Linked DNA regions of Macaca mulatta. The protein of the gene in region 1 purifies or fractionates together with the protein of each later gene. This does not show direct contact. Links are inferred from orthologs where the notes say so. Each region holds a gene or a part of one and is shown on either strand. Other genes may lie near its edges.

The links. Proteins that work in one complex are often made in the same cells at the same time.
Region 2: the proteins of MCM4 (region 1) and SSRP1 purify together in Homo sapiens (affinity purification with mass spectrometry; 4 studies listed by BioGRID and IntAct, counting the BioPlex papers as one, with this or other methods). This does not show direct contact. The link is inferred for Macaca mulatta from reciprocal best matches to the Homo sapiens genes MCM4 and SSRP1.
Region 3: the proteins of MCM4 (region 1) and SF3A1 fractionate together in Homo sapiens (co-fractionation; 3 studies listed by BioGRID, with this or other methods). This does not show direct contact. The link is inferred for Macaca mulatta from reciprocal best matches to the Homo sapiens genes MCM4 and SF3A1.

The regions. Positions count from the first base shown.
Region 1 is NC_133413.1:58,511,364-58,517,262, forward strand, and holds part of MCM4 (DNA replication licensing factor MCM4), read left to right. Parts: coding exon 1-13; intron 14-1,675; coding exon 1,676-1,796; intron 1,797-4,048; coding exon 4,049-4,308; intron 4,309-4,774; coding exon 4,775-5,140; intron 5,141-5,604; coding exon 5,605-5,732; intron 5,733-5,899. UniProt on the Homo sapiens protein: Acts as a component of the MCM2-7 complex (MCM complex) which is the replicative helicase essential for 'once per cell cycle' DNA replication initiation and elongation in eukaryotic cells.
Region 2 is NC_133419.1:16,069,368-16,075,366, reverse strand, and holds the start of SSRP1 (FACT complex subunit SSRP1), read right to left. Parts: upstream 3,815-5,999; 5' UTR 3,744-3,814; exon of another isoform or gene 3,541-3,743; intron 3,259-3,540; 5' UTR 3,140-3,258; coding exon 3,086-3,139; intron 2,672-3,085; coding exon 2,486-2,671; intron 1,256-2,485; coding exon 1,150-1,255; intron 855-1,149; coding exon 664-854; intron 560-663; coding exon 329-559; intron 195-328; coding exon 91-194; intron 1-90. UniProt on the Homo sapiens protein: Component of the FACT complex, a general chromatin factor that acts to reorganize nucleosomes. The FACT complex is involved in multiple processes that require DNA as a template such as mRNA elongation, DNA replication and DNA repair.
Region 3 is NC_133415.1:21,187,292-21,193,290, forward strand, and holds the start of SF3A1 (splicing factor 3A subunit 1), read left to right. Parts: upstream 1-2,204; 5' UTR 2,205-2,322; coding exon 2,323-2,385; exon of another isoform or gene 2,386-2,484; intron 2,485-5,506; coding exon 5,507-5,628; intron 5,629-5,949; exon of another isoform or gene 5,950-5,999. UniProt on the Homo sapiens protein: Component of the 17S U2 SnRNP complex of the spliceosome, a large ribonucleoprotein complex that removes introns from transcribed pre-mRNAs.

The sequences.
Region 1 (5,899 bases):
TGACAAGCAGATGGTGCGCAGCCACCCTGGCCCCCCAGGCTATGCTTTGCCTGTCTGTATCCTCAAAAGCCGACTATAACTTGTCCCTCGGACCCTGAGCCTCACTTCCCGAATGGCATCCATCCCTCTCTGGTCTTGTGGGTTTCATTAGTGGCCTATGGGCTAAATACGCAGAGCACACAAAGGCCCTGCTTCAGGGCACTGTCCCTGTGCGGTTGCCAGTAGTACTGTCTGTTGTTAGAGACGTCATATTTTCATGGCCTAAAATGCTTCAAACATTTGAGATGAGAATACTTAGTTAAATGTCGTTCTGCGGTTTTTCCATTGGTAAAGGATGGAGGAATTTTTCTGAAATTTTTTCACAAATTTTATTGTCTAAGAAGTTTGGTCTTTTTCGGCTGGGCTTGGTGGCTCACGCCTGTAATCCCAGCACTTTGGGTGGCCGAGGCGGGCGGATCACAAGGTCAGGAGATCGAGACCATCCTGGCTAACGGTGAAACCCTGTCACTACTAAAAAAAAAAAAAATACAAAAAAATTAGCCAGGCATGGTGGCGGGCGCCTGTAGTCTCAGCTACTCGGGAGGCTGAGGCAGGAGAATGGCAGGAACCCAGGAGGCAGAGCTTGCCGTGAGCTGAGATTGCACCACTGCACTCCAGCCTGGGCAACAGTGAGACTGTCTCAAAAAGAAAAAAAAAGTTTGCCCTTTTTTCTCTCTATTCGTGAAATTGTAAGATGAAGTTACTAAAATGACAGAAATAAGTGAGGGGAAGGTAGAAAATTGCTTATTTACTGTGATTGTAACTGTAAAGATGTGGGAGGACAGAATTTGAGTTTTTCTGTGACAGTGTGTGCATGGTTTCTTTAATGTTGCATGAGACAGAGCTGGAGACAGAAAGGCAGGCACCTTGTTCCCCAGGAGCATATGGCCTCCTATTCTCAGAATCCTGCAGGCCCCCAAAGTGGCTTAGAGAAAAGCCCAGCAGCCTTAGGCCTCTCAGAGGGTACCTGGTTTGGAAAGGCCTTCCTCGACCCTGCTTTATGAAAAGCATCTCAGCTTCCCCCACCACAGCTCCCTACATTCCTTCCCCTGTTTTGTTGCTGTCTGCTGCATTTGTCACTGTCACATGTTATGTGCTCATTTTTCTGTATATTATCTGCCCCTTCCACTCCATGAGGCAGGGAACATTGTTCACTATCGGGTCCCTGACACCTAGGATGGGCTGTAGCACAAGCTGGGTGCGCCACAGATACCTGTTAGATGAGTGGATGCAGGCAGGGTTGTGAGGTGCGCAGGCATGCCCGACAGTGGGCCTTAAGAATGTGTGTTGCAGCCGGGCATAGTGGCATGCGCTTGTAATCCCAGCTACTCGGGAGGCTGAGGCAGGAGAATCACTTGAACCTGGGAGGTGGAGGTTGCGGTGAGCTGAGATCGCACCATTGCACTCCAGCCTGGGCAATAAGTGAAACCCCATCTCAAAAAAAAAAAAAATGTATGCTGCTCTACCCAGGAGATCTAGAAGTAACTTCTAAAGCATTAATGAGAAACATGGACAAACATTTATGCGGGGATATGCACTGCAGCCTTACATGGCGAAAGCAGTACAAAGACATGCAGATTTTTGTCCTCCTGCACTCTCTTTGTGGCCCACATGTTCTCTGTTTGCTGCCCTTCAGATCAAGCTTCAAGAGTCTCCAGAAGACATGCCTGCAGGGCAGACACCACATACAGTCATCCTATTTGCTCACAATGATCTGGTTGACAAGGTTCAGCCTGGGGACAGAGTGAATGTTACAGGTAAGAGTGTAGGTTTGCATCAGCACTTTAGCATGTCTGTCTTGTTTTCAATGCTGTGCTTTAGTGAGTCATTGGACTCAGTCACAGGTCCAGTTCTGCCTGCAGTTGTCACTGCATGTCTTTGAGACTGTGGGGTATATCCCCAGTTTATCTGCCACCTTTTTAACTGAGTACCACTGCCCAGCGTCATGAAATTGTTCAGTTCTTCTCAAACTTGAATGTTGGAACTCATGGTTTGTGCGGTCACTCGCCTCTTGATATCTCAGTATCCTGGAACTATGTGTGTCTCAAGTCAGTACTGTTGGCATCATGAGACAGCAGCCTCAGATAGGCTGGTATGGGTAGAGTTTGAGTTATGCCATTAGCTAAGTATTATCAATGCTGGAGTTGTAAGTAATTTTTACTTATTTCCCAAATGTGTAGCCAGGGGTTAACATTTGTTTGTTACAGAGAAGAATGAGTCAGAGTGACTTGTTTCCATGTATAGAAGCTGAGGTTCAGGGATGCATAGACAGCAGTAGCTCAGATGCCACGGTAAATCAGGACCCAGGACTCCTTCTCTTGCTGCCACGAGAGTGTTCTTTGCACAGCACCACATGAGTGTGGCAGTCTTCCTTTTGAATCTGTAGAGTCACAATAGATTTTGGTTGGCGGCAAGGGAGTGTTGATGGCAGCACAGTTCTTCATTGATGGGCAAGGTGGCAACGGTCACAGAGTGCCTGAATCTGCTCCTGAGCGGAGAGCCTGGGGCACACCACGCATCGGCCTTTGTCTTCAGTGAGGCAGTGCTCACCCTGTTTCTTCCCCAGTGTGAAGTCCCGCAGTTGTCACTGGCAGTCTTCTGTTGTAAAAGTACTTGTAGTCATTGAGAATTAAAATAATGCGTAGTCTTTAGTGAGTGACGTGCATATTTCCAGTCCTGCTACCCTGAAACCTTTGATAAAGTATTTAATCCAATATTTTAGTTTCCTCACCTACAAAGTGGAGTTAATGTGATGATACATGTGTGAGAGTATTTGGGGCCTAGGGGCTGTGGAAAGTGCTGTGTAGATATGAAATAAGTATCAATGCTGCTCTGTGAGATAAATCATCATGGGCCACTTTAAACATAGTCGTCCATCCCTAGCCTATATTGGAGTGAAGAATAGTGTGTATTCTAAGAATGCATGTAAACTGGTTTGTTGTGTTAAATAAGAATTACACCAACCCACTAAATGAGCAAGACTCTGTGCCATTGTGTTGAGATAGCTGTAAGGGGGAAAGGCCGGACTTTCTCCAAAAGCTGCAGGAATCAGCCTAGAGTTAAAGGCTTCTGGTTTGAAATCCAGAAAAGACGAATATCAGATCAGACTTCTGTATGTGGGGAGCCTGCCTTCCAGAAGAATGCATGATTTGCATGCTTTTGTCAGGGGTGGTGGGCGGGGGGTGGGACCTAGTCTAGTTTTAATGGCTGGAGGATTTTAGCATTTTGTTGAAGTCAAGTAAGTGCTAAGCAGATTCTGTACACTCAACTTAGGGAAGTAAAAATACTGCTTATTAAATACAACCACAAACCCAGCATTGAGCCAGAAGCACAGCAGCTCCATTTCACCCTCAGGGTGACTATGCCCGTGGAGGTGCTCATGTAGCTACAGTTGCCCTGGAGCACTGCTGACTAGTGGGCCCAGGTGAACACGTCCTCGGCTCTGTCATTTACAGAAACCTTGATTCTTTCTCTTTTTGTTTTGTTTTTGAGAGAAGAGTTTCGCTCTTGTTGCCCAGGCTGGAGTCCAATGGCAGGATCTTGGCTCACCGCAACCTCCACCTCCTAGGTTCAAGCCATTCTCCTGCATCAGCCTCCTTAGTAGCTGGGATTAAAGGCGTGTGCCACCACGCCTGGCTAATTTTTATATTTTTAATAGAGACAGGGTTCTCCATGTTGATTAGGGTGGTCTCGAGCTCCTAACCTCAGGTAATCCGCCTGCCTCAGTCTCCCAAAGTTCTAGGAATACAGACATGAGCCACCTGGGTTCTTTCGAGCTTGTCCGTTTCCTGCTGCTGTTTCCCCGCTTGCTCAGTAGGCGGGAGCTTTGCAATGTGGGTCTGAGTCCTGGGCTTGGGAGGGTCATTTAAGAGATGGTGGAGCTCACCTTTCCAGGGCCAGCCCAGTGTGGTGCCTCGCTCTGAAGTGCACCTGTTGCCTACGCTGGTTGCTGAGCCACTCGGAGGAAGATATGGGAAGGTAAAAGTGCATCTCCTGGTTGTGCCCTCAGGCATCTATCGAGCAGTGCCTATTCGAATCAATCCAAGAGTGAGTAATGTGAAGTCTGTCTACAAAACCCACATTGATGTCATTCATTATCGGAAAACGGATGCAAAACGTCTGCATGGCCTTGATGAAGAAGCAGAACAGAAACTTTTTTCAGAGAAACGTGTGGAATTGCTTAAGGAACTTTCCAGGAAACCAGACATTTATGAGAGGCTTGCTTCAGCCTTGGCTCCAAGCATTTATGAACATGAAGATATAAAGAAGGTAACAGTGGATTTTAAACTAGGGGTTGGGATTTACAGTTCTTTAGAATCAAATAGTATAAACATCCACTCCGCCACTTAAGCCATTTGCCATAAAGGATGCAAGCTGTGGCCTGTTAGAGCAAGTGCTGGCAACCGGACTTGCCATTGGTTGAGGAGAGTCATAGCATTGTCTATCCTCATCTCTGCTCTAAACTTAAGTTTCTAAACAGAAGAGGCCACACAGTATCAGAATAGGGAGAGGGACTTGCATGGCCATCATTCTGGCATAATGATGGGTGCTGATGAATAAATTGGTCAGTGATAACTTAGAGCATATCAAGCACTTTCAGGAGCCTTTTTATACCTTCCTGCGATTTCCGAATTGTAGTTCTTTATAGAGAGAAAAGTACCTCTAAAGTTTAAACTACATCTCAGTTACTGTGCAGAAAATGAATGTTTAGACATGTCTCTGTTTGATTATTTAGGGAATTTTGCTTCAGCTCTTTGGCGGGACAAGGAAGGATTTTAGTCACACTGGAAGGGGCAAATTTCGGGCTGAGATCAACATCTTGCTGTGTGGTGACCCTGGTACCAGCAAGTCCCAGCTGCTGCAGTACGTGTACAACCTCGTCCCCAGGGGCCAGTACACTTCTGGGAAGGGCTCCAGTGCAGTTGGCCTTACTGCGTACGTAATGAAAGACCCTGAGACAAGGCAGCTGGTCCTGCAGACAGGTGCCCTTGTCCTCAGTGACAACGGCATCTGCTGTATCGATGAGTTCGACAAGATGAATGAAAGTACAAGATCGGTATTGCATGAAGTCATGGAACAGCAGACTCTGTCCATTGCAAAGGTGAGTTGCCTTCTCCACTGTGAATGTGGACATGTTTAAAATACGTGGACCCTTGAAAGACAGCGTATGTGGAACTGTGCTGTGCTACCTTGGTTCTAACTTGGGGAGATTGATATGTGCTTTTCACATCATATTTCAGCTAAATCTCTACATATCTTCAACAGGATATCATGTTTTGTCTTTATTGCTGTACTAGCCTTGAATTTGTCCTAAAGCTCTTGCAAGGTGCCTGCTTCCTGAGAAAGACGTGGTTATAGCACGCATTCATCTAAACTCAGTCCTTGTCATGAATCTGAGGACAAGGCTTATCCAGGTGAACTGCTGAAGTCAGTAAAGGCAACATGGCTCAGGCAATAGAAATGCTGTAGAGGGAATATGGGTTTAGTAGGTGGCCGGGCAAAGATGGTACTTGTTAATTGCCAGCGTCAGGGAGAGGCTTCTAACCGCACTGTTTTCTCTGATAGGCTGGGATCATCTGTCAGCTCAATGCACGCACCTCTGTCCTGGCAGCAGCAAATCCCATTGAGTCTCAGTGGAATCCTAAAAAAACAACCATTGAAAACATCCAGCTGCCTCATACTTTATTATCAAGGTATTAAAACAGATTTTTATTTTGTTCATTTGTAGAATATTCAGGGTGAGATTGAAAAGGAGCTACTAAGATTCAGCAACTGCTAATGGAAACTCTTCACTCTTATCAAGATGTTTCAAATTTGGTTGGTCAAGAGTTTTCACGACAAGGATGATGCGTGTTTTCAT
Region 2 (5,999 bases), on another chromosome or scaffold:
CAAGGTGAAGTCACAACACTACTGCCTTCTAATGGCACACCTGTCTCCGGCCTGGACAGTGGCAGGAAACGAGTCCAGGGAGACACTCACTCGTTCATGTTCAGAGTCAACGAAATGTCCTCGTCCTTGGAGAAGAGGAGGATCAGGAAGTGGTAGCGAGTTTGGCCTTGCTTGATTGGGGGGTCCAGGCTGATCTAGTAAGGAAGAGCACCAATTGATACTCTACAACAACTTGCGATTCACTAACATAGAATTCTGCACACCAGTGAGGTCCGTCTACTTAACACGCAAAAACCACGATTATCCGGCCATAGGGGTTTCGGCTTACCACAAAGAACATCTGTCGCTGGTCCTTGTGGGGTAACAAAAACAGACGCAGCACTGTGGTATAGGGGATCTTGTAGTCAAAGGTCTTGCCATGCAGGTGCAGAAAGGTGGGGTAGATCCGAATGTCGTAACGCCCTCGAGGAGTCAGACACTGCAGCTCCCGGAAGATGCAGATGGCATCTCCCGTGGCCTGGATTACATCCGCCTTCGACAACACATTCTGGGCAAAGGCCTGCAAAAAGCACACATTGGTAACCAAGCAGCAGGCCCTGCTCCCAGGCCAGCCAATGCCTGCTCAGCACCATCTGCTGCCAAGGCAACCAGGGGACGCCTCACCTCAACAGGGTCCACACCATCCTCCTGGGTGGGAGGGACATAAAAGCGGACCTCCATGAGAGACACCTCTGCGTCATCGTTTTGGTGGAATTCCAGTGTCACCTCATTCTTGCCAGTGGTGCACTGGGACACATTGCTGAGGGGTATCTCAAAGACTGGCTGGTCACCAATGTCAAAGGAAAGCAGCTGCCCTGTGAGGAAAGGGCTTGTCAAGCCACAAGCTCCTCCCCTTAAGTCTGCATAAGCAACATTCCCACCAAACTTGAGTTCCACAGAGACAGGATACTGGGGTTAGTCTTTTTACACTGTAACCCCAACCCCAGGCACAGTGCCCAGTAAACTGTAGGTACTCAATAAACACACGATGAACATGCAAACAGATAGGAAACCAGAGACAGTGGCAGAAGGAAAAGAGCAAAACAAGTAAAAGGCTGAAGCCCTTCACCCTATCTTCCTCCCCAAACCTCAGTCTTCCCCAGGACTCACCACCAAATTTCACTGTCCCCCAGTTCCAGCCCTTCACACAAAGGTCCTTCTCCATTAGCTCAAGGCGATAGTGAGTTTTGAAGAAATCAGAGAGTTTCTCAAACTCCTGTGGGTGGAGGGAAGAAAACGCAATCCCAGTAAACCCTGGTGGCCTTAACACCGACTTGAATGTCCTGGGATTATCTATTTCTGAGAAACTGTCCCAAATAGGCTTTATAAGAAACTCTTGCTGCCGGGCGTGGTGGCTCACGCCTGTAATCCCAGCACTTTGGGAGGCCGAGGCGGGTGGATCACGAGGTCAGGAGATTGAGACCATCCTGGTTAACACGGTGAAACCCCGTCTCTATTAAAAATACAAAAAATTAGCCGGGCGAGGTGGTGGGCGCCTGTAGTCCCAGCTACTCGGAAGGCTGAGGCAGGAGAATGGTGTGAACCCAGGAGGCAGAGCTTGCAGTGAGCCGAGATCGCGCCACTGCACTAGAGCCTGGGCGACAGAGCAAGACTCCGTCTCAAAAAAAAAAAAAAAAAAAAGAAACTCATGATGACTTAGCAACCCAGCTCTAACATTGTTTAAAAGATGGTTTAGAGAGGTTGCTTCTAGCCACTGGATCTGACATTCCTGGTTATGGGTCATCTGATTTTATAAACTTTGTATAGGTATTACTTTAATGAAAGTGGAAATTAAAATCAAATAAAGCCTTTAACTCAAGCAGTTCAAAATGGAAACCCACACTTTAAGACATCAAGCTAGCCAGGCGCAATGGCTCATGCCTGTAATCTCAACGCTTTGGGAGGCCAAGGTGGGCGATCCCTTGAGTCTGAGAGCTCAAGACCAGACTGGGTAACGTGGCGAAACCCCATTTCTACCAAAAATTATGAAAAATCAGCTGGGCATGGTGGCATGTGCCTGTGGTACCAGATATTCAGGAGGCTGAGGTGGAAGGATTACTTGAACCCACGAGGCAGAGGCTGCAGTGAGCGGAGATTGCGCCACTGCACTCCAGCCTGGGTGACAGAGCGAGGCCCTGTCTCAAAAAAAAAAAAAAAAAACACAAAAAGACATCAAGCTAAGATCCTGAACCTTGATAAAAGTCACAGGTAGAAACTAGTATCTAAATCAAGACAGAAGAAAATCTTCTGGAGTCAAGGCACACAGAAATTCACAAGACTTCAACACTCAAAGCCGAACACTGATTGCCTCATGGCCTCACAGTCCTGCTCTAAGGAGCCCAAACTAGCAATCACAGGGTTACATGAGGAAGGAACCTCGAGTCTCTAGAAGATTAAAACAAGATGATGCAGTAAAAAGGGGGTTTATAGCTATGGGACAGCTCACCGATTCTCGGAAGCCATCATACTTGTAGACATGGCCATTCTTTGTAAGCAGTTTAAGTCCATGGCCCAGAGCAACACGGCGCCAGATGCCTTCTGTTAACTCCCCAGCCTGGATGTTGTCCACTTTCCCCGTCTTGCTGTTCTTGAAGATGATGCCCTGGCGGCTCAACCTCAGTCGACCATCATTCTGTAAGAAAAGCAGGCCCAGATGCATGGGGACAGTACACAGCATGTCCTGGGTCCAGTTCTACCCAACACACTTTCCAGCTGCGAGTGGGCTGGGCAGACTGTCAATGCAGGAGCAACAGCTGAGGTGCAAGGAGTCTAGATTCCACACCAGGCTCTGGTATTTAGAATCCTTAACAGATTCTCAGTTTCCTCATTTGTAAAACAGGAATTGGGAACTGAAGAGCATATACGGTCCCTATAACTCTGAGACTATCTCTCAGTATTGCCTCGTGTTGGGGGAGACACTAGGTACACGTTATACTGAGTCTTCTTTTTCCAAAATAACATTACCAAAGCAAGCTCTCGTTAATGGACAAAAACTCTACCCTCCTTCCTTCTCTCTACTTGTATCAACTGCCCAAGCCATTCTCACCATGGAGCCTTTCACCTCCTGATAGATGTCGTTGAACTCCAGTGTCTCTGCCATGTCGACCCCTGCCTGTGGTGGCCTGGGCAGAGCCCCAGGCTGCACAAGGGAAACCGAGTAAACTGGGGGCTGGGCCCCAACTCCTGAGTGGGTGGGCGGATGCTCAGCAGGTTGGGAATCTAAATTCAAGAGGAAGACAGATAAGCATGAAAGACAGCACCTCGCTGTGCTCACGGATGGAGCACAGCAGCAACTCCCAACTGCGCCTGGGATGTCTCAGGATTTCCTCTGCCTGGAAACCTACAGACGGACGCTGCAGCGCTCGAGGGTCCAGGCCTAAGCCCAGGTGGAGAACCGGGCCTGGAATACCGCTGACACCCAACCCGATGCCCGCTCTAGCCGCTCTGGCGGGAGCCATGGCAACGAGCAGCGGAACCCCAGGGTCAGCCCGGAGCCCGCACCTCGCACGCGCCCCAATCCAGCTCAGAGTGCAGGGTTTCCCTCGCAGCGCTCCCACCACCCCGCGGGCCTCCGGTTCACCCCCGCCCCACAGGATGGATTCGCCCGCTCCCCGCGGTTTCGAACGCGGAATGGTCCATGTCGAGCGTCCCTTGGGGGAGGGGCGCCCCTGCCTTCCTGGGACCGGGGGACGACCACCACCTACCTCCTCAGGCTGCAGCCTCGCGAGGGCCCCGGCGCAGGAGGTGGGCGCGCTGGGGGGACGCGGTGGGGCGGGGGATGGGGGGGACACCGGGGAAGCTTTTCCCGCGTGCGCGGCCCCGCGTCCCGCCACCGGAAGCCGTGCACAGGCCACAGAGACGACGAGCTGGCTAGAGAGACGCGAGCCCGGCCCGCCTGCGAGACAGTCGCATAGAGCGTCAGCGACTCTGGAGGACCTGAGGGAAGAGTGGTTGCCGTGAAGTCTCTCTCAGCCGGGTGGAATCTGCCTAGAAAATTTGTGTAGGGCTCTTTAGAAACTACAGACACTTCTTCAGTGGAGACTAGATACTGAAGAGAAATTGTGTAGTTGTATTGTATCAGACTTAGCTTAGTACAGGAATGGGGTGGGGGTGTGTGTTGAAATGATGCGTGCCCGTTTCTCTGCAAAATAGTTTCTGTGTCATGGAGAGGAGTCGATGGAACACGAAGAAAAGTATTTGAACAGTTGTGGGAAGAAACGACCTCTCGCACTGGCTGCGGAGAGAATGCGGGTGTTGGTGTCACCGTGGGTGCACTGCTTTCTGGCTGACCTGTCAAGTTCGCCGTCTACACCCAAAATTTTCACATCCCTAACCGAAATGTATAGGTCCCCCCAAGAGGCTGACAAATGGCCGTATCCAGTTCAAGTCCTGGTATCAGATTCACTTTGGAGCCAGAACTGATTTGAAACCACATCATCCTGGGGTTGCGGAAGCCAGCTCTCCCTCATATAGTCCCAGAGTGCATTTTTGCAACATCAGAGACCAGACCTGGAAAATATATTTTAGTTTTTCTACCCCAACCTCTTTTTACTGATGGGAATACTGAGACCCAAAGGGGAGTGAGTTGCCCAGGGTCTCAGTGCGTTGGCAACAAGGCTAGGACACAGACCTCCTTACCACCACCAGTCCAGTTATCTTCTGTCATAATCACAGTGACTGTATGTTCAGAATGATTGATGATATGTGTCCTACATGAAGACATTAGTACAGAATATGTAAACTCAAGATTTCCCTGACAATCAGTACACCAGCTTGCTAACTCAATCCTGAGGTAAGAGACAACAGGAATGCACCCTTCTCCCCTGAATTCATAGCTTTAACCTCTGAGTAGTGGCTATTCCAGCATTATCTAGCAATATAAATTCAACTGGGTTTAATAGATAGATATTGAGGGCCTATGACTAATTTAGCACACTTCTCGGATTTGAGGAACTTGAACAAGACGAAAACATCCCTGGCTGGGCGCAGTGGCTCACACCTGTAATCCCAGCACTTGGGGAGGCCGAGGTAGGCAGATCACTTGAGGTCAGGAGTTCAAGACCAGCCTGGCCAATGTGGAAGCCCCGTCTCTATTAAAAATACAAAAATTAGCCAGGCATGGTGGCGGGTGCCTATAATCCCAGCTACTTGGGAGGCTGAGGCACAAGAATTGCTTGAACCCAGGAGACAGAGGTTGCAGTGAGCTGAGATCGTGCCACTGCACTCCAGTCTGGGCAACAGAGCGAGTCTCTGCCAAAAAAAGAAAAAGAAAAAGAAAAAAAAAATGGAAGGAAGGAAGAAAAGAAAGAGAAGGAAGGAAGGAAGAAAGAAAGAAAGACCCAGCCCCAACCTTTCGGGAAAACATAATCTAACAAATGATTTTGATAAATAAACTGAAAAAAAAAAAAAAAGAAGTGCTAACTGCTATGCTACAGGTAGAGTGAAACTCATTACCAACTGGAGTTAGAAATATGTGAGTCTTTACTCATCACACCCCAGAAGACCCAGAAAAACTTTCAAGAGACCCTCTCCCCCTGACCCATGCCACTGGGGGCAATTCAGGAAAGGAGGGGACGGCTGCAGAACTGGGTGGAATTTGGCTGGCACTCAGGAATGAAGGCGGTCTTCAGTTCAGGCAGGCTGTTAGGTGACTAGGGGACGGGAAATTGCAAAGGGCTTTAGGGAGAGCGTGAGCAGCTGGTGAGCTGGGATGAGGATGCTGCAGAAGAGAACAGAACAGAAACAGTAGACAGAGTGCAGATAAAACATTAGTCCCAGAGGGCTCCAGCCAGCTACATCCCAGGCAATCAGGAGCCCAGGATTGGAGACCCCACCCCTGCTGTGACATCACAGGGGAGTGGGGTGGAGACGAACAAAAAGGGGGTCCCCCGCCCTGGTCTCTTGGAAGCCAGAGTATCAAGAGAAGAGAGAACCTGACTAGGGTTGCCTGGCTTAAAGGG
Region 3 (5,999 bases), on another chromosome or scaffold:
AAATTAGCCGGGCATAGTGGCAGGCGCCTGTAGTCCCAGCTACTCGGGAGGCTGAGGCAGGAGAATGGCGTGAACCCAGGAGGCGGAGCTTGCAGTGAGCCGAGATTGTGCCACTGCACTCCAGCACTCCAGCCTGGGCGACAGAGCAAGACTCCGTCTCAAAAAAAAAAAAAAAAAAAAGAAAAAAAAAAAGAAGTACTTACGTGCATGTCAAGTGAAAAAGCACTTGACATGAGCTCTCTGTAATTCCTCGCTCTTGAGTGGAACCCTCAGTCTGAGGCTGCCAGCCCTGCACTGTACCCAGGAACACATAGGTGACTGCACTAATTGAACCCTTAGGAAGGAGCAGCAGCTATCTCTGCCTCTCCTCAATTTCCTGGGGCTCAAGGCGGACTTTTGACTCCCAGAGAAGAGCAGGAGCCTTTCCTACACTTCCGTTCAACATTCCAGCACCTTCTCTGAGACCTAGTACCCTAACCTACTGGTAAAAATGACGCCTACTTCCCAGCCAGGGTGACTGCTGAGATTCAAAGTCACCACCACGAAAACATGGGAAACTCTAAAACCAGCTATGTGGCAGATGCCAGTCTCAAACATGAGATTGTTAATTGCCTGGATCCCTGGGGACGCTGAAGGGACTGAGGACAAAAGAATAACTAACTGCACTAGTAGAGGAATAAGACTGGCTTGAGCTTGCATTCCCACTCTACCAACTCCAAACTTCACTGTCCTCATTTGTAAATAGGGTGCTATAAGGAATAAATGACGTAATACATGAAGTGTTGGGCACAGGATCCGGCTCATAGCAAATGACCAATACATCCTAGCTATCATTATTCTACATTAATAACAACCATGACACACAACTACGATGTGTGCGGGGGAGGGGGAAGACTGGAGAGAGCAACCCTTCCTATCACTCCCTCATTTCACAGGTGAGGAAACTGAAAGCCAGGCAAGGTTCCCAGCCAGCTCCGGGCTTTCCGGAGTTGAGGAGGGGAGGAAGGGGGTGGGGATCTCAGGAGAGGGAGAGAAAGCCGGCAGGAGTCGAGGTAGGCCTCTGGGGAGCGAGCTGCATAGCTTGCAGGGGCGCACCTGTGAGAGTGAGGGGTGAAGCCTAAAGCAGCAGCCCTGAGTGATGGCTCATGCGTGTAACCCCAGCACTTTGGGAGGCCAGGTGGGAGGATTGCTTGACTCCATGAGTTTGAGACCAGCCTGGGCAACATAGGGAGACGTCCTCCCACGTCCCTACAAAAAAAATTTTAAAACTGGCCGGGCGCGGTGGCTCACGCCTGTAACCCTAACACTTTGGGAAGCCGAGGCGGGAGGATCATTTGAGGTCAGGAGTTCGAGACCAGCCTGGCCAACGTGGTGAAACCCCGTCTCTACAAAACACACACACACACACACACACACACACACACACACGGCCGGATGTGGTGGGCGCCTGTAGTCCCAGCCACTCGGGAGGCTGAGGCAGGACAATTGCTTGAACTCAGCGATTGAACTCGGGAGGCGGAGGTTTCAGTGAGCCAAGATCGCGCCACTGCACTCCAGCCTGGGTGACAGAACAAGACCTTGTCTCAGAAAAAAACAAAAAAGAAAGAAAAAGCAGCAGCCTTGATTTGAGAGGGAGGCCCCAGTGGGGCTTGAGATCAGGACTACGGAAGGCAGGGGGTGGAAGCAAGAAAAGGCAGGCCTATGGGAAAAGGGAATTAAGGGCGTAGGATTTGGAAGAGCGGCTTGGAGGATGTGGGCCTGAAATGAAAGGGGGGACTAAGGGAATAGGGAAGCGGGGCTCTGAGGCGGCGAGCCTTAGGGCACAGGGGCTCTCCGAAATGAGAGGCCAATGGGAGGGAGCTGGGCTCTTGGAAGGCGGTGTCGAAGGGAGCGAGGCACTGGCACTGAGCGAGGCACTGTAGAGTAAAGGAGGCGCGAGCTGAGTGCGGCGGAGGTCCGGCGGGTGACGTAGAACATCTCACCTGTCTTCGGCGTCGCGGTTTCAGCCTCTGTATCCGGTCAGCCCCGGGAACTGCCCCCGGCGCGCCTGCGGCTCCCGGGAACCCCGGAAACCCCTAGCCCGGAGCTCCAGCCGCTGCCTTGACAACGGCGTCGGACGCCGCGGTGCCCGCGGGGAGGAGCAGGAAGCGCGCCACGGCGAGGGGGCGGTCCCGGAAGTGCGTCAGTCTTACCTTCGCGGCCACAACTCGCTCGGCTGCCGCCATTTTGCGAGCTCGTCGTACTGTTCGAGCGGGGAGGCTGTCTTGAGGCGGCACTCCTCACCGACACCGAGGCGGACTGGCAGCCCTCAGCGTCGCAGTCATGCCGGCCGGACCCGTGCAGGCGGTGCCCCCGCCGCCGCCCGTGGCCACCGAGCCCAAACAGGTACCTCTCCCCCGCCCCTCAACCTGCAGCCGGAGCGTGGGCCTGGGCGCTACTTACTTGAGCGGGAATAAGCGGCCGCTATGAAGGGCTTGGAGGGACTGCAAATCCCAGGAGGCTGCGCGCTTCCCGCGCTATGGTGGTGGTTCTGGTAACGAAACCAGCTGCTCTGAACGGGGTTCTCAAAGTGGTCCGCGGAGCAGCCGCGTCGGCACGAGCCGAGAGCTTAGAAATGTGGAGTCTCCGCCCTAGACCTTTTAAATAGGGATCTTACATTTGAACAAAATCCTAAGGTGATTGATTTGTAAGTGTGAGAGGCGCTGATCCAGCCCATCCTGTGATCTTCTGTGGCAGTTGGGGCCACCGGCCCCAGCCTTTCCCCAGTAATGCCCACTTTCCCAGCCTGGGCGGTACATCTTTGGATGTTAATTCTCAGCATCTATTTCGGTGTCTGCCCCAAGCCAGACACCGTGCCACGCTCCCACGTTACCGGAATGAATGGGGCACGGGGAGCTCACAGGCTAACGAGAAGACAGATACACGAGAATGCTCACCAAATGTTTATTGTTCCGATGGCCGTCAATGATACAGTGTCAGCCCGCCCTTAATAAACCTCTCGAATCTCAAATGTGTATAAACCATTGTAGTACGGTGTGATATGCCCTGTGATAGAAGTTTCAGGTACAAATCTAGTCAACATTGCTTGCTGGAGTAGAAGGGATATTAAGGTAGGGAAGCCCACGGGAGTGAGAGGTAAATTTCTTTTAGAAGAAGGAATGGGAGTTTGCCAGGCAGGTGACTAGGGAAGGGAAATAACATCCTTTATTCATCCAGCAAATATTTATTGAGCATATATGCTGATCATTGCTTTGGGTTTGGAATGAGGGGGACATGACTGAAGAAGCCATGCCTTTTCCACAGATATTTAAGTACCTGTGTGTCCCTGGCATTTTCCCAGGCGTTGGGAGAAAATAAGGTAATGGCCAGATAATATGCACAAAGACACTGAGTTAAGAATCAAACGGTGTCTCTGATCAAGAGTAAATGAACAAGTGTTGAAGCATAGAGCGTGGTGACAGGAGATGCAATTCTTTCTTAGGATTTGAACTTTTCCTTGTAGACAATGGGAAGAAAAGGGAGAGTTTTAAGCCAAATAGTGACATTTGTGTTTCAGAAATTCAGGTAGGCAGGCATGTGGAGAGTCACTACGAGGAGGGGAGGCCAGTCACGCTATTCCAAGGGGCTGAAGGCCTGGCCTAGATTAGGGCAGAGGGGTGGGCAGGCTTTCCAGCCAGAGTGGTGTGTTAGAATTCTGGTTCTGCCAGTTGGACATTAAGCTCTCCATCTCTCAGTTTTGTCATCTGTAATGTGGAGATATTAAGAGTACTTGGCCGGCCCAGTGGCTCACGCGTGTAATTCCAGCACTTTAGGAGGCCGAGGCAGACAGATCACTTGAGGTCAGGAGTTTGAGACCAGCCTGGCCAACATGGCAAAACCCTGTCTCTACTAAAAGTAAAAAAAATTAGCCAGGTGTGGTGCATGTTTGTAATCCCCACTATTCGGGAGAGAATTACTTGAACCTGGGAAGCGGAGGTTGCAGTGAGCCAAGATCATGCCACTGCACTCCAGCCTGGGCGACAGCAAGAGAGAGTCTCAAAAAAAAAGAGTACTTAATCTTATAGGCTTCTTATAAGAGTTATAAGAATTAGTATATTTAAAGTGCTTGGGAAAAATACCTGGAATCTACTCAGTGCTTGATAAAAGTTTTTTTTAAGAGACCGGGTGTCGTTCTGTCACCCAGGCTGGAATGCAGTGGTGCAGTCGTAGCTTACTGAAGCCTTGAATTCCTGGGCTCAAGCAATCCTCCTACCTCAGCCTCCTGACTCACCGGGATTATAGGTGCAAGCCATTGTGCCCAACTTGATCAATGTTATTATTATTGAGTGTGGAAGCTGAGGAAGAGAGAGGAGCCCCAACTTTGTGGCATGGACGACTGAGTAGCTATTCCTGAGGAAAGAGGTTAGAGATGAAAGTGCCCAGTAGTTAGCTGGACCCGAAGCTGTTCAGTACGCAAGAGTGTTCTGGGACATCAGTTTGGGCCAGATTGTATAGAGGCAGGAGGGGAAGTGGAGGACACTGTCAAAACTGAGAAGAGAACCAAGAACAGAATTGGGCGGTGGGAGCGGGGATCTCCAACTTCACAGAGCAGGAGGTGAAACAGGCCAGGAAGGAAACTTGGATGGAATGGTGAGCAAGATGGGAAGACAGGTAAGAATGGGGTCTAGGAGTTGAGAGTTTTCATGAAGGAGTGGTTACCATTCACACCCAGATAATGGCTGTGGGCAGTCGTTTTTGACTTTGTCAAGAGCACTTAAAATGAATGGGGACCAAATGGGAGGCAGGGAAGTGGGATCAGCAAACTGAAGAGAACTCAGGATGTTAAGCTGCCAGAGGATGGGGCGGGAGAAGGCAGCGGCAGAAAGGAACATGGAGGCAGAGGAGAAACTTCATTTTTCTAAGATAAGAGATTTGACCCTTTGTTTACTAAGGGGAAGAAGCTGCTGGAGAAAAAATATTGGTACTTATGGCATAGTTAATGCTGAACATTCCAGTGGAATTTCACAAAACACCTGAGCATTGAATGTTGGTTGACAGTGGAGTAGAGGCAAAGAGCGAGGGCATCCAGGGCAGAAGAATTTGTCATCAAATAGTTTCCCATTTCTTTATTCAGCAAACAATCATTAAAAATTACATGCCAAGCCCATCGCTGGGTGCGTGGAGTCCAGACATGGCCTGGATTCTGGAACATGGTTTCTCAGAATGTAGTCGGAGTCCCTGCATCTGAATCACCTGGGCATTTGGTAAAAATGCAGATTCCTGGTGTCACTGAGACAGTCCAACTAGAGAGGAGCCAGGGAAGCTGCTGTTTCCCTGGGTCCCCAGGAGCAGCCCCCGCAGGTGCAGTGAACTTAAGAGAACTGCTTTTCTGAAGCAGAGGGTTCTAACCTGAGGGAAGTCTGTGAGTGAAAGTCTACTCTGAATGATATCCTAGAGGAGTGTAATAGTGGAGAACCTGCTCTGAACCAGGGACTTTAAAACCTTATTTCTTTTCCTGTTTTCATAGCCCACAGAAGAAGAAGCATCTTCAAAGGAGGATTCTGCACCTTCTAAGCCAGTTGTGGGGATTATTTACCCTCCTCCAGAGGTCAGAAATATTGTTGACAAGACTGCCAGCTTTGTGGCCAGGTAACAGAGCTACCTGGGTGGGTCAGAGGTGGGTTTCAGCATGAAGAGATTTCAGCACTGAATCAGCACAAAGGGTTTTAAAGAGATGTTGTTGGCTTGGGCCTTTTAGTTCATAAAAAACCACAGCATGGCATTGGGGTAGGCAATAGGTAGGACTGGTGTCCCTGACACAGCATAGCAATAGCCAAAGTGAGGATCAGACTTAGCCCTGCAGTCACCAGGAGCCTCTGCTGCCAAAACTGGCCTGAGGAAATGCCCGGAAAGCTGCTTTGTCACAGATGGTGTGTGTCTGTACCTGAGCTGCTGGCCTGAGGAAAATAAAAAGGGGAGTTTATTATTCTCATTGTGCAAACACCACATTCCAAGAGCCT